Oryctolagus cuniculus: one gene and its partners. The protein of the gene in region 1 interacts with the protein of each later gene in a biochemical or structural test. Links are inferred from orthologs where the notes say so. Each region holds a gene or a part of one and is shown on either strand. Other genes may lie near its edges.

Evidence for each region. The genes of interacting proteins can lie anywhere in the genome.
Region 2: of the proteins of RNF168 (region 1) and H2AX, one has a biochemical effect on the other in vitro, tested with the Homo sapiens proteins (2 studies listed by BioGRID). The link is inferred for Oryctolagus cuniculus from reciprocal best matches to the Homo sapiens genes RNF168 and H2AX.
Region 3: of the proteins of RNF168 (region 1) and H2AZ1, one has a biochemical effect on the other in vitro, tested with the Homo sapiens proteins (3 studies listed by BioGRID, with this or other methods). The link is inferred for Oryctolagus cuniculus from reciprocal best matches to the Homo sapiens genes RNF168 and H2AZ1.

What each region holds. Positions count from the first base shown.
Region 1 is NC_091435.1:83,027,988-83,032,371, forward strand, and holds the start of RNF168 (E3 ubiquitin-protein ligase RNF168), read right to left. Parts: upstream 2,820-4,384; 5' UTR 2,635-2,819; intron 2,507-2,634; exon of another isoform or gene 2,384-2,506; intron 2,297-2,383; 5' UTR 2,260-2,296; coding exon 1,959-2,259; intron 1-1,958. UniProt on the Homo sapiens protein: E3 ubiquitin-protein ligase required for accumulation of repair proteins to sites of DNA damage. Acts with UBE2N/UBC13 to amplify the RNF8-dependent histone ubiquitination.
Region 2 is NC_091432.1:111,203,842-111,207,391, forward strand, and holds H2AX (histone H2AX), read left to right. Parts: upstream 1-1,684; 5' UTR 1,685-1,772; coding exon 1,773-2,204; 3' UTR 2,205-2,739; downstream 2,740-3,550. Other genes in the region: DPAGT1 (UDP-N-acetylglucosamine--dolichyl-phosphate N-acetylglucosaminephosphotransferase), read left to right, coding at 98-185, 348-503, 587-652; HMBS (porphobilinogen deaminase), read right to left, coding at 3,233-3,406, 3,487-3,550. UniProt on the Homo sapiens protein: Variant histone H2A which replaces conventional H2A in a subset of nucleosomes. Nucleosomes wrap and compact DNA into chromatin, limiting DNA accessibility to the cellular machineries which require DNA as a template.
Region 3 is NC_091439.1:65,412,835-65,417,218, forward strand, and holds H2AZ1 (histone H2A.Z), read left to right. Parts: upstream 1-1,612; 5' UTR 1,613-2,030; coding exon 2,031-2,033; intron 2,034-2,452; coding exon 2,453-2,530; intron 2,531-2,828; coding exon 2,829-2,942; intron 2,943-3,246; coding exon 3,247-3,376; intron 3,377-3,668; coding exon 3,669-3,730; 3' UTR 3,731-4,104; downstream 4,105-4,384. UniProt on the Homo sapiens protein: Variant histone H2A which replaces conventional H2A in a subset of nucleosomes. Nucleosomes wrap and compact DNA into chromatin, limiting DNA accessibility to the cellular machineries which require DNA as a template.

The sequences.
Region 1 (4,384 bases):
ATAGATAAGCAAGGCAATCTTGTCATATACTACACATGGATAAACACTGAAGACATGCTAAGTGAAATAAGCCAGAAATAAATGGACAAATATGTATCATAATTCCACTTAGATAAAGAACTGAGAACAGTGAAATTATGTCATAAAGACAGGAAGTAGAATGATGGGTGCTAGGGGAAATGAGGAGTTAATGTTTACTGAAAGTGGGGTTTCAGTTTGGGAAGATTAAAAACTCTGGAGCTGGATGGTACCAATGAACGCACCGAGTGTGAATGTATGTAATGCCACTGACCTATATAATTAAAAATGGTAAATTCTGTTATGTTTATCATAATTCTAGAAAACACATAGTAAGATACCTCCTCACATTTACCAGGATGGCTATTAAAAAACAACACCAACATGGAAAATAACAAGTACTGGTGAGGATGTAAAGAAACTGGACATCCTGCACATAGTCAGTGGGAATGTACAACAGCATAGCCACTGTCAAAAACGCTGGCACTTCTCCAAAAGCTAACTATAGAATTACTGTACGATCCAGCAATGCCACACCTAGCTTACAGGCAGCCTCTGTAGCTGCAAGCTCTGCATCCATGGGATCAATCATTGAAAACATTCAAGAAAAAATAATGTACAGACTTTTTCTTATCAATATTCCCTGAGCAATACAACTATTGGTATAGTGTTTATATTATATTAGGTATTAAATATAATCTAGAGATGATTTAAAGTATGTCGAAGCATGTATATGGATTATATATGCAAATACACTGCCACTTTATACAAGAGACTTAAGCATCCACGAATTTTAGCATCCTCAAGATACTAAAAGTAGAACCCCTTGGATGCAGAGGTATGACTGTAGACACTAAAAAACTGAAAACAAATATTCAAACGAATATTTGTACCAAATGTTCGTATCAGTAGCATTCTAATATCTAAAAGGTAGAAAAATTCCAAATGTCCACCAATGAATGAACAGATAAACAAAATGTAGCATATATCAGAAAAATATTAATCAAAAATGAAGTAACTGATAAATGCTACAGTGTGCATGCACTTCAGACATGCTATGCTAAGTGAAATAAGCCAGACACAGAAGATATTGCATGATTGCACTAATATGAAATATCTAGAATATGCAAATTCAGAGACAGAAACTAGAATAAGGGTAACTTAGATCTTGGGGAAGAACTCATTAATTAATGGTGAAAGGGTTTACTTGTAGTAATGAAAATTTTAAAACCAGATAATACATTGTGAATATAATTAATGCCATTGAACTGTACACTTAAAATGGCAAAATTTGTTGCATATATTTTACAACTTTTAAATAAATTAATAATGCAGCATACCAAAACCCCATCACATTACACACTTTAAATGGGTGAACGGTATGTGAAATATGCCAGGAAAACCGTTTTTTAAGAAAGTGAGTATTGTTTAAAAATAGCAAATTCTGTTATCTGTTTAAACTACAATAAAACAATCAAAGGGTAGGCACACCAGAGCAGAACAGCACATCCAAAGCTTAGACAGGAAACACGACATGGCTCACTGCCCACAGGAGCAGAGACAAGCAGAGTCAGGGGTGCAGCGTGGGGCTCCCAAGCTCACACTCAAAATGACCGAAATGGACGGAACAGGTAACACAGAGCTATTTTAGGTCGTTGCATGCTAAAAAGAATAGTAAAAGAAATGATGGGGACGTACAGACGAGGCAGTCAAGAGACAGACAAAGTGAATGTAATAAGAATACTAACACAGGAATCAGCGGTTCCCTCTGCGCACTTCCACCACTGCTCCCCTCAATATTTAGGCACAAGCTCGGGCACTGTAACAACAGCCACAATCATGCCCATGACTGTGACATTCTGGAGCCCATGAAACGCAAAGCCTCCAAGAGTAACTTGAACACACACTCCTGCGTCTTCAACACGCTGGGCTTCACTCACCGAGATCCCCGGATTCTTGCCCCGAAGCTCTGAGCTTGCATTCCCTCGGGTAGTGTTTCTGAATCATCTCCCACAGTTTCATATTGACAAGAGTCTTTCTTCGGGTATGGTAGCGAGCCCACGAGGAGACCCGGCGGCGACAGAAGGGACAGCATAAATTCGCCTTTTCGACAGTGGACTGGAAGCATGGATTACAGAGCGTGTGGTTGCAAGGGAGGGTCACCGGCTCGATCAGGATGTCCACGCAGATCCCGCACCGGCACTCCGACAGGGAAGGGATGTTGTCTTGGGGCACAGCCATTTTAGTATTGCTAACAAGGCCTAGTCAACATGAACACCTGCCAGAAAAAAAAAAAAAAAAAAAAAAAAAGGATCGTATTTTCGGTCAACCACCGGGCACCAATTTAAGTTTCGCGTTTACATACGAAGCTCAGCAGCGTGCCAAAAATTCAGAGACGGGGAGCATCCAACACGTCTGGGAGCAGGCAGGCGCTCCGAGGCGCGGGTAAAGAGCAATACCCGGGAAGACGAACATGCCCCAAGAGAACACACGAACATTTCCGTCTGACGCGGCAGTTGAACAGCGCGGCCGCGGCGGCGCGCGGCGTCGGGCGTGCGGGCGTGCGGGCGCCCGGCGCGGCGTGGAGTGGGCCCGCGTCCTCTGCTTCCGCTTTACCTCGGCGGGATGCGCCTCTTGGCTCCGGGGCCCCCAGTGCCGGGGCCGCTGCGGGATCCGGGAAGAGCACTGCTTCCGCCGGACGTCGAGCTCCGCGCAGGGCCCCCGTCTTCCCGGGGCCGTGAGGGCCGCCGCGAGCCCCCAGTTCGAGCCTTTGGGTGTCCCGCGCAGATTCCTAGGATTCCGCGCTCCGCCCCTCTCTTCGGGCTACTCGTGGCGGGGTCCCGTAGCAACCGTACACAGACCAGTGACGTCACAACTGCCGCCAAAATGGCACTTCCGATCCGCCGAACCGTCCAGAAACACAACAGCGAACATTCGGCGAGGCGGGACTTCCGAGGCCGCCGCGCGCGCGCGCGCTGGCGCCGCCCAATCCCGGCCTGCCCCGCCTTCCCAGGAGAAGGCCCCACCCATTCCCGCCGTCCCCGTTCCCGCGGTTCTGCTGCGGTAGATCCAGATCTTTCCTTGGCTTTCTGCCCCCAGAGGCTGCAGATATCCTTGAGTGCCTCAAGACTGGCGTGTGGACAGAAACGTGAAGCCTCAGAACGAATTAAAGACTCGAACATTAATTTTTATAATTCTGCCCGCAGTACAAGAGTACCTTTTTGTTTCTATTAATGAGTGATCTAAGGGTTGCTTGCCAAAGTTATTGTCAAGAAACAAAATTTCGGGGCTGGTCCCGTGGCATAGTAAGTTAAGCCTCCGCCCTGTGGCGCCGGCATCCCATATGGACGCAGTTCAAGTCCCGGATGCTCCGCTTCCATCCAGCTCTCTGCTATGGTCTGGGAAAGCAGTGGAGGATGGCCCAAGTCCTTGGGCCCCTGCACCCGCGTGGGAGACCAGGAAGAAGCTTCTGGCTCCTGGCTTCGCATCAGTGCAGCTCCTGCCGTTGCAGGCATTTGGGGAGTGAACCAGCGGACAGAAGACCTTTCTGTCACCCTCTCACTGTAACTACCTCTGAAATAAATAAAACTCTTTAAAAAAAAATAAAGATTTACTTACTTATTTGAAAGGCAGAGTTACCTAGAGAAAGGAGGCACTCCCCAAATGGCCCCAACAGCCAGGACTGGGCCAGGCAGACGCTGAGCCAGGAACCAGGAGCTTTATTCGGGTCTCCCCCATGGGTGCACTTCCGCTGCTTTCCCCAGCACATTAGCAGAGGGCTGGCAGAAGTGGAGCAGCCAGGAATGGAACTGGTCCCCATGTATGAGATGCTGGTTCACAGTGTGGCAGGTAGAGAGCATCACCCACCAGCCCCAGCACTTTTGTTTTAACTGGGTTCAGGAACTTGAGGTTATCACCCAGCTATCTACAGTCTCTTAGCCTGAAATTCCACTTCCTAATGTGTCCACAACCTGCTTTTCCCATGGACATTTCCATTACTCTGAAAGCATGCAACTATGACCTCCCCCATCACACAGGGATTCCCTTCTTTTAAATTCATCCAATCATGTACAGTTCCTAGTAATAATGGTTTTGATCGTAACTTACTTAGTGCCTGCATTTTGCTTTATCTTTAGGAGTTTCTGACTTGTGTGAGGGATATATTTTTACGTGCTTCCTCAGATTTCCTTGGCTTTGCTTGCTTTCTGAACTGTCAATCACTTGCTCTGTGCGGAACTGACCAGGTGCATTCCTAGGGTCTCTGCCTTCCTACCCTCCCCAACCCCTTACCCAGTCCCTTCTGAACAATGCAAGTATGCAAGTGCTGGTTTCCAGGTAGCTGATAGGAGGCCTGGATGACACATGC
Region 2 (3,550 bases), on another chromosome or scaffold:
TTTCCCTCCCCAGTCAGAGCTCTTCCTATTAATGAACACAGGGAAGAGCCTTCTCCGAGTAGTGGCCCAGTCACATGAAGCTGTCTTCCCCCTGCAGACTCAATACCAAGACAGGCAAACTGGAGATGAGCTATTCCAAGTTCAAGACCAAGAGCCTCTCTTTCTTGGGCACCTTTATTTTAAAGGTAACAAGGTAACAAGGAGGTAAGGCCCTAGGCCGCCATCCTGAACTTGGGGATCCGGGAGCCTAGACCTGCATCAGATCCCAGGGGAGCTCGGAGGCATTAAGCAGACTCCTGTTCCCGGACCACACATAGGAGCTGCGGTTCTCCCTCTGGTCCCCGCAGGTAGCAGAGAGGCTCCGGCTGGTGGCGGTGCGCCAGAGCGAGAGCGAGGACGGCCACTTCACCGAGTGTAACAACTTGACCCTCATCAACCTGCTGCTTAAGGTCTGCGGGCCCATCCATGAGCGGAACCTCACCTTGCTCCTGCTGCTGCTGCAGGTGAGGTCGGGCATGGGGATGGCGTTTGTACTTCCTTGTGGCTCTTTCTCGACGGACCTCACGCCAGTCCATTTCTCTTGCAGGTCGTGGGCAGCGCTCTCACCTTCTCCATCCGATACCAGCTTGTCCGGCTCTTCTATGATGTCTGAGTGCCCTGGGTGTTGGCCCTCACCTCAGAGTCTCCAGGGGTCCTGCCCTGACCCCTGTCTGGACCAAGGCTGCTTCCCCTTCCCCTGTGATCATGGACATCCGGGGCCTTTCTTGCCCTCTGGCGAAGGCCACTGAGACTTCACCTGTGGCTCCCCACCTCAGCTGGCCGCTCTCCCGCCCTCGCATCTCTGGGCTGCAGCGGATTTTGGACGGTTACCCACAACTCGACTCTCAGGGTCCTGCAGCTCAAGGGATGTGCTGGGCCTTGGGGCAGAACCTGGGCTAGGGAAGGGACACGGGCTGGAAGGGGGCTTGACTCTCGACTCTAAATGAAGTATTCTGATTAGTAAAGGCAGACGGGGCACCCGACGCTCCCGTCAGTGACAATAAAGGGTCTTTTTTCTTGTTTCTGTACGTATATTTCCTATGGGGGCATTTTAGGAAAACAGGGAAGGGCGCGGGGAGAGGACCTCCAAGCGGAGGCCTGTGCCTGTGGCTGCTCTTTCAGACCCTTCCCAGCGAGAACACAACTGAGACCTGACAGGAAAGCTCCCGGCGGCACAGGGGGCCTTAAGGTGGGAGTGGCCTGTCTTCCGACGTGGGATCGTCCCTTTTTGCACTCTCCTTCGGCCTATTCGGAGGGGGCGGGAGTAGGGCGCCCCCAGACTTAGATGGGAAAGCTGAGGTAGCAGAATCTAGTCCTTTCCTTTAAAAACCCCAGGCCAGCACGGGGTCTGGCTCCACCCCTTTCGTCTTCCGGTTCTAGTCTCCGCCTGCCACGTTTAAATCTCGCGCGCTTTGCGCGGATTGGCCGCGTCCGGAGTGGCTGCCTGTCAGCCGGCCCGCACGCTTCCTCACCTTCTTACCCGGGCAAAAGGTTTTCAAATTCGACCAATCGGCGGGCGCGCTCCCTCAGCCGAGGCGCGTCCCCGAAGGGTTAACCTCAGCCAACCGGAGGCGGGTACTAGAAAAAAGAGCCAATCAGGAGAGCGCAGGGGGTGTGCCCTAGGGGCATATAAGGGCGGCCCCGCCGCGCGCGCGCCGGCAGTTGGACTGCGGCGGTTGGCTGTTGGGGGCTTCCGTCCGGGCGTCGCTTCGTGCCGTTCTACCTCGCGCACCATGTCCGGCCGCGGCAAGACCGGCGGCAAGGCCCGCGCCAAGGCCAAGTCGCGCTCTTCGCGCGCCGGCCTGCAGTTCCCGGTGGGCCGCGTGCACCGGCTGCTGCGGAAGGGCCACTACGCCGAGCGCGTGGGCGCCGGCGCCCCGGTGTACCTGGCGGCCGTGCTCGAGTACCTGACGGCCGAGATCCTGGAGCTGGCGGGCAACGCGGCGCGCGACAACAAGAAGACGCGCATCATCCCCCGCCACCTGCAGCTGGCCATCCGCAACGACGAGGAGCTCAACAAGCTGCTGGGCGGCGTGACGATCGCCCAGGGAGGCGTCCTGCCCAACATCCAGGCCGTGCTGCTGCCCAAGAAGACCAGCGCCACCGTGGGGCCGAAGGCGCCTTCGGGCGGCAAGAAGGCCACGCAGGCCTCGCAGGAGTACTGAGGGGCCCGCGCCGCGGCCGCCCGCCCCGCGCCACCACAAAGGCCCTTTTAAGGGCCACCACCGCTCTCACGGAAAGAGCTGAGCCACGGCCGCTGCCCCTCCCCCGCGCCGCGCACCTGCACGCGCCTCGGGCCGGGCTCGTGACTCAGCCGCCCCACGCTGCGGGGCTGCGGGGCGGCCGCGGCGCCTGCGGAAGACGGCCTGCGGGGCCGAGCGGGCAGCCCTGAAGGTGAGGCCCTCGGCGGCCGCAGCCCAGGACTGGGACACCCGTCTGCGGCTTCCAGGCCTCGGCGGGAGACGCGCTGCCCCTCTCGTCGTTGGCGGCCGCACAGCCCGGCTCCGTTCGCCCCGGCGGGGCGGGGGACTGCCCGGAGGACTGCCGGGCGGCGGCGGCGCGGCCCGCGCGCTCAGACCAGCCCCGTCCGGACGGCCTCCGGTGGCTTGATTGGGACTTTGCAGCTAACTCGTCGGAGAACCAGAGACTGGGAGTTTCGGATGGACTCATTTTGTTTATTAAAGGATTTGGTTTTTTAAATGAAGCGCTTCCGTGTACTTGCCTGAGGGGGCGGGGCGGGGGTTCAGCTAACGGGAAAGGCTGTGCCGGGACCGGGTGAGGCAGGAGCCGGGGGGCTCTAAGGTGTGTGGGGGGCTCTCCGCGGTATCCGGGGACCGTGTCGGGCAGAACTACTGCGGCAGGAACGCGGTGTTCCAGAATTCGGGGGGAAGGGTCAAAGGGGTTTGTGCCTGTTTGCGTCTCCACCGACCGCACCACGAGACAACCGGAGAGCCGCCCTCAGCTGGTTTATTCCCGGGGCTGGTTACATTCAAAGGCTGTGGCTTGCATTGTGTTCTCTAGAGATGAGGCCCCCACGCAGCAGGAGGCAAGGCCCCTAGGTGAGGCGAGTCCCCGGCGGTCAGGGACCCCGCAGTTCCTCCTGGAGTGACCACTTCCCAGTGAGAACAGGGCACTCGGCCGACGTCCTCCCCGGGGAGCGGCAGCCCAGGCAGGCACCTGTGCCCACGGCCGCTTAGTGGGCGTCATTCAGCTGGCGTGCAACGTCCAAAATGTTCTTGGCTCCTTTGTTCAGTAACAGATTGGCCAGGCTGATGCCCAGGTTCTCAGCGGCCAACTGGGGTCCTCGTGGAATGTTCCGGGCAGTAATGCCTACCAGCTGGGGGTCATCCTCCGGGCCATCTTCATGCTGGACAGAAGGGAGTGGGACTTAGTGGGGACAGGGAAGTCGCACTGCTCACTCCTCCCTCTCACCCTCTGGCTTTGTACCTGGGCAGGGACCTGGATGCTGGCCTGCATGGTCTCTTGCATTGTGTCGGAGCCATCCAGACTC
Region 3 (4,384 bases), on another chromosome or scaffold:
ATGAAACCCATCTTGGATTGTAGTTTGGTTGGCTTGGTTGTGTATGCTTTGGGCGGGCTTCTGGTTTGCTGTTTCCACATCAAAGGAATTGAGTGTACAGAACAGGAAGAACAATTGAGTAATAAACATACTTTATTTCTTTGTTCTCCAGTGGCTAGTGTAGAAGATAACAGGAGTTACTGAGTGCTTACTGTGTGTCCACTACTATCCTCTACAGTGTATACCTTCTTTAATCTTGCAACCAGGTTGTGAAAATAGGTGGCATATAACCTTTCCACAGAAGAACCTGAAGCCCCCAAAGCTTGGTCGCCCAGATGACACAGTGAGGAGGCCGCAGAGCAGAAGAATTCACGTCTGCCTGCCCCGAATCCATTCATTCTCTCAAACACGATCCAAAGAGGCAACAGAGATTTCTCTTCAGTTGGGCTTCATCCCAGAGAGAGTATTATCTAAATCGGAGAAGGCATTAATATTGGTTTCTGAGTGAAGCCTCACTGGCGACAAGGTTAACTATTACATTGAGTTTCACAGCTTTTTATCGCCATCTTATCAATTTAGTTGGAGATCTGATGAACTCTTGCTATTGATGACATCACAAGGACTCCTCAGTTCCAAGGAGAATAATGAAAAGATAGACTAGAATTTATATCCCAGAAACAGGAATGTCCTTTGATCCCCCCCCCAAAAAAAAACAAAAAACTTTCAAATTGAAACCTTGAAACCTAAAGTTAGAATGTATGTTTCAAATACTTCAAGTTGCAACTGTTCAGTTGTTGAACATGTAACATTATATTCCCAAACAGCTGGAGATGTGCACAGGTGTTATTAATCTATTAGTTGGAAGACTAAGTAGCTGGCATTATTATAGCACTGTGTGTACAGTACTATTTTTTAAGCCCACCATTTGCAATTGATTACATGGACCATCTGTAACTGCCTGTGAATCACGTTAGTTACCCCACTGACATTTACCGAACATTTGTCACGCAGCGAAATATTTAGTGTAGAAAAGTTGACACATAATAGCTCTGAGATTTCACTAAATCAACTCTAGACACCGGCCTGTGGGTACAACCCACCGACCTGTAGACACCAGAAAAATACGGTTTGACTAAAGAAATACCAGCTCACGCCAAGCTCCCCACGCGTGAACAAAAAGGTCTTTTGTGCCCAGCGAGGTAACTCGGCTCCGCCGACTGTTGTCACAGAACCACCTCGTGTGTGTGCGTGCGTGTGTGCGGGGGTGTCTTCATAAAGTGGTGGGGGAAAGAGGAGGAGAGGACTCCGCTGAAATTCAAGTGGGATCCGCCGGCGGCTGGGAACCAGCTCAGAGGGAGGAAACGGCCGAGTCCTGGCCGACCCGGTCGCGCCACCTGTCAGACGAGCGCAGCCGCCAGGGGCTGGGAGGGCGGCAGGCGAATGGGTGCCCGGGGCCCCGGAAGAAGGCTGCAGGGGAGCCGATTCCGGGCGGCGAGAACCCAGGCGGTGCTGTTAGGGGTGGGGGCCGCGCTAGACCCCGAGGAGACTTCACGTGGCCTCTGCAATCCCGCTAAGGGACCGGCGGGGGGCGCTGTCCCACGCCCCTCCCCTGAGCCTCTCAGCTCCTCCTCCCAGACACGTGACTGAGCCTGCTGGTTTCTTCGCTCGCGCTGCGCACCTCGTTCTGTTTCTTCCCTCCCGCTGCTATGCCCTTCTTCTCCCCCGTTCCCATCCCTCCGCCCTCCCCCACCTCCTCCCCACGCGCCAACCGCGGCTCGAGCTTGGAAGCGCCCGCCTCTCCGCCCTGTTCTTCGTTTTCTCATTGGCTGAGGCCTCAAGGACGCGTCCCGAGGGCGGGCGGCAGCCATTGGTGGGATGAGCAATCCGAGTTCCCGGATGAGGGAACATTCTGCAGTATAAAGGCAGCGGGGAAGGCGGGAGACAGCGCAGTTTGAATCGCGGTGCGACGGAGGAGTAGGTGGTGGGATCGCGCTGTGTGTCAGACTAGCCCTTTCTCTGCCTTGCTTGTTTGAGCTTCCGCAGAATTCGAAATGGTAAAGTTCGCAGGGGCGCTCGGTAACTCCGCGGGATTTTGCCGGCGGGAGAGAAACCCGCTACCCACGGGGATGAGGGTGAAGTGGCGACGGTTGGGGACGTGCGGAGACGGGATTTACACGAGCGGGGGGGAGGTGGCGTGTCGGCTGCGAGCGGAGCAGCCTCGGCTGTCGCGGCGGGCGGCGACGGTTGGGTGGCGCGCGCGGCGCCTCTGGGGGCCGGCGGGCGGGCGGGCGGAGGCGCGCGGCCGCGGCGGGCGCGCGGCGGGGGCCGGCGGGCGGGGTCGCCCCTGCGGCGCGTGGCGGGCCGGAGACCCCGGCGGGGCGCGGGGACGCGCCGCGGTGGGGGAGGGGCGCGCCGCCCTGGTAATTCTATATTCTCCGATCCTCCTCCGCTCGCGGGCGTGTGCGCGCCGCAGGCTGGCGGTAAGGCTGGGAAGGACTCCGGAAAGGCCAAGACAAAGGCGGTTTCCCGCTCGCAGAGAGCCGGCTTGCAGGTCAGTAGTTGTTCGTGCAGTCTGCGAACCGTGGCGTTTTTCTTTGCACACCCCCTCCCACCCCCCTTTCTTGTTTATCATCGCCCTAGATGGGCGTTTCGTCTTCGCGTTGGGGATGCGGTGTCGCGACTTGGGGGCTGCCCACACGATAAATAAGGTTGGGGGGGGCGGCGATCACGTGTGTGGATGCTAGGGTGCCTGGCTGCACCAGCGTCCGGGCCCCTTGCGTTGGCGCGCGTGCGATCCCGCCAGCCCTGGCTCCCTGTCTTTATGCGTTTCTTGTTTGTGTGTGCTTAAGTTCCCGGTGGGCCGCATTCACCGACACCTGAAATCTAGGACGACCAGCCACGGACGTGTGGGCGCGACTGCCGCCGTGTACAGCGCTGCCATCCTGGAGTACCTCACCGCAGAGGTAACTGAGCGGACGCCTATCATCGAGGCAGGGCTGGGGGGGGGGGCGGGGGAGGCGGCCGGAGGGAAGGAGGAAAGTGATGCAAGAAGACTCCAGGCCCGAGACGCGGCGAGAAGCCCGGGAGGACGCTAGAGGGAGCCGGTGTCCAGGAAGGGAGCCTCCTGAGCCGGAGGAGTTGGCTGCTCCTGGCAGTAATTGCGTGTCCCCTGGATAGGGGGGAACACCTGGCAGATTCCTGTTCCTTAAGCTTTGATTCTGCCCTTGCACCTTGGTCAAAGGCGATTGATGAGCGTCTGCCTTGTAGGTACTTGAACTGGCAGGAAATGCATCAAAAGATTTAAAGGTAAAGCGCATTACCCCTCGTCATTTGCAACTTGCTATTCGTGGAGATGAAGAATTGGACTCGCTCATCAAGGCTACAATTGCTGGTGGTGGTATGTAATAAAGTTGGTTTTCTTCCTTATTCGGAGGACAGAAACCCTTGGCTTCTAACTCCTATTAGATTTTAGTCTAGCAGAGGGCATTTGAGAATGTTTTCATTGATGCAGTATGGCTGGGTCATGAAATTTGGTTTATGTAAACAACTCAATGGGTTTTTGGTATTTTGAGCTTCACATTTTTTTGAAAGATCTTGCACGTTGAAGCGTAAAATGCCTTGGTTTCAAAGTACTGTGTGGTTTTGAAAGTACTTACATTAAAAGTAGAATTTATCTGTCACTCTCCTAGGTGTCATTCCACACATCCACAAGTCTCTGATTGGGAAGAAAGGACAACAGAAGACTGTCTAAAGGATGCCTGGATTCCTTGTTATCTCAGGACTCTAAATACTCTAACAACTGTCCAGTGTTGGTGATTCCAGTGGACTGTATCTCTGTGAAAAACACAATTTTGCCTTTTTGTAATTCTATTTGAGCAAGTTGGAAGTTTAATTAGCTTTCCAACCAACCAAATTTCTGCATTCAAGTCTTAACCATATTTAAGTGTTACTGTGGCTTCAAAGAAGCTATTGATTCTGAAGTAGTGGGTTTTGATTGAGTTGACTGTTTTTAAAAAACTGTTTGGATTTTAATTGTGATGCAGAAGTTATAGTAACAAACATTTGGTTTTGTACAGACATTATTTCCACTTAGGTGGATAAGCTCAATAAAGGTCATCTCCCAAACTAGTTGTGTTTTAAATTTGCTTGCTTGTAATGGAAACTTGTTTTGACTGTGGTCCAGCAGTAACTAGGCACATTTCTTCTGTAGAAATTAAACTGTTAACCTGTAGATCGACAAAGGTCAGATACCGGGTACAAGGTAGTGTTACACCATAATGTGCTATGAATTTCTCAGAAGTTCTGCAGGAGCTGGAGATGGTTAGGGTTTCCTGGGACCAGGGACCAAGTGAGCTGAGCGTTCACCCTGGCTGTGCCGCAGTGACAGCACTGCTCTGGCGCGCGG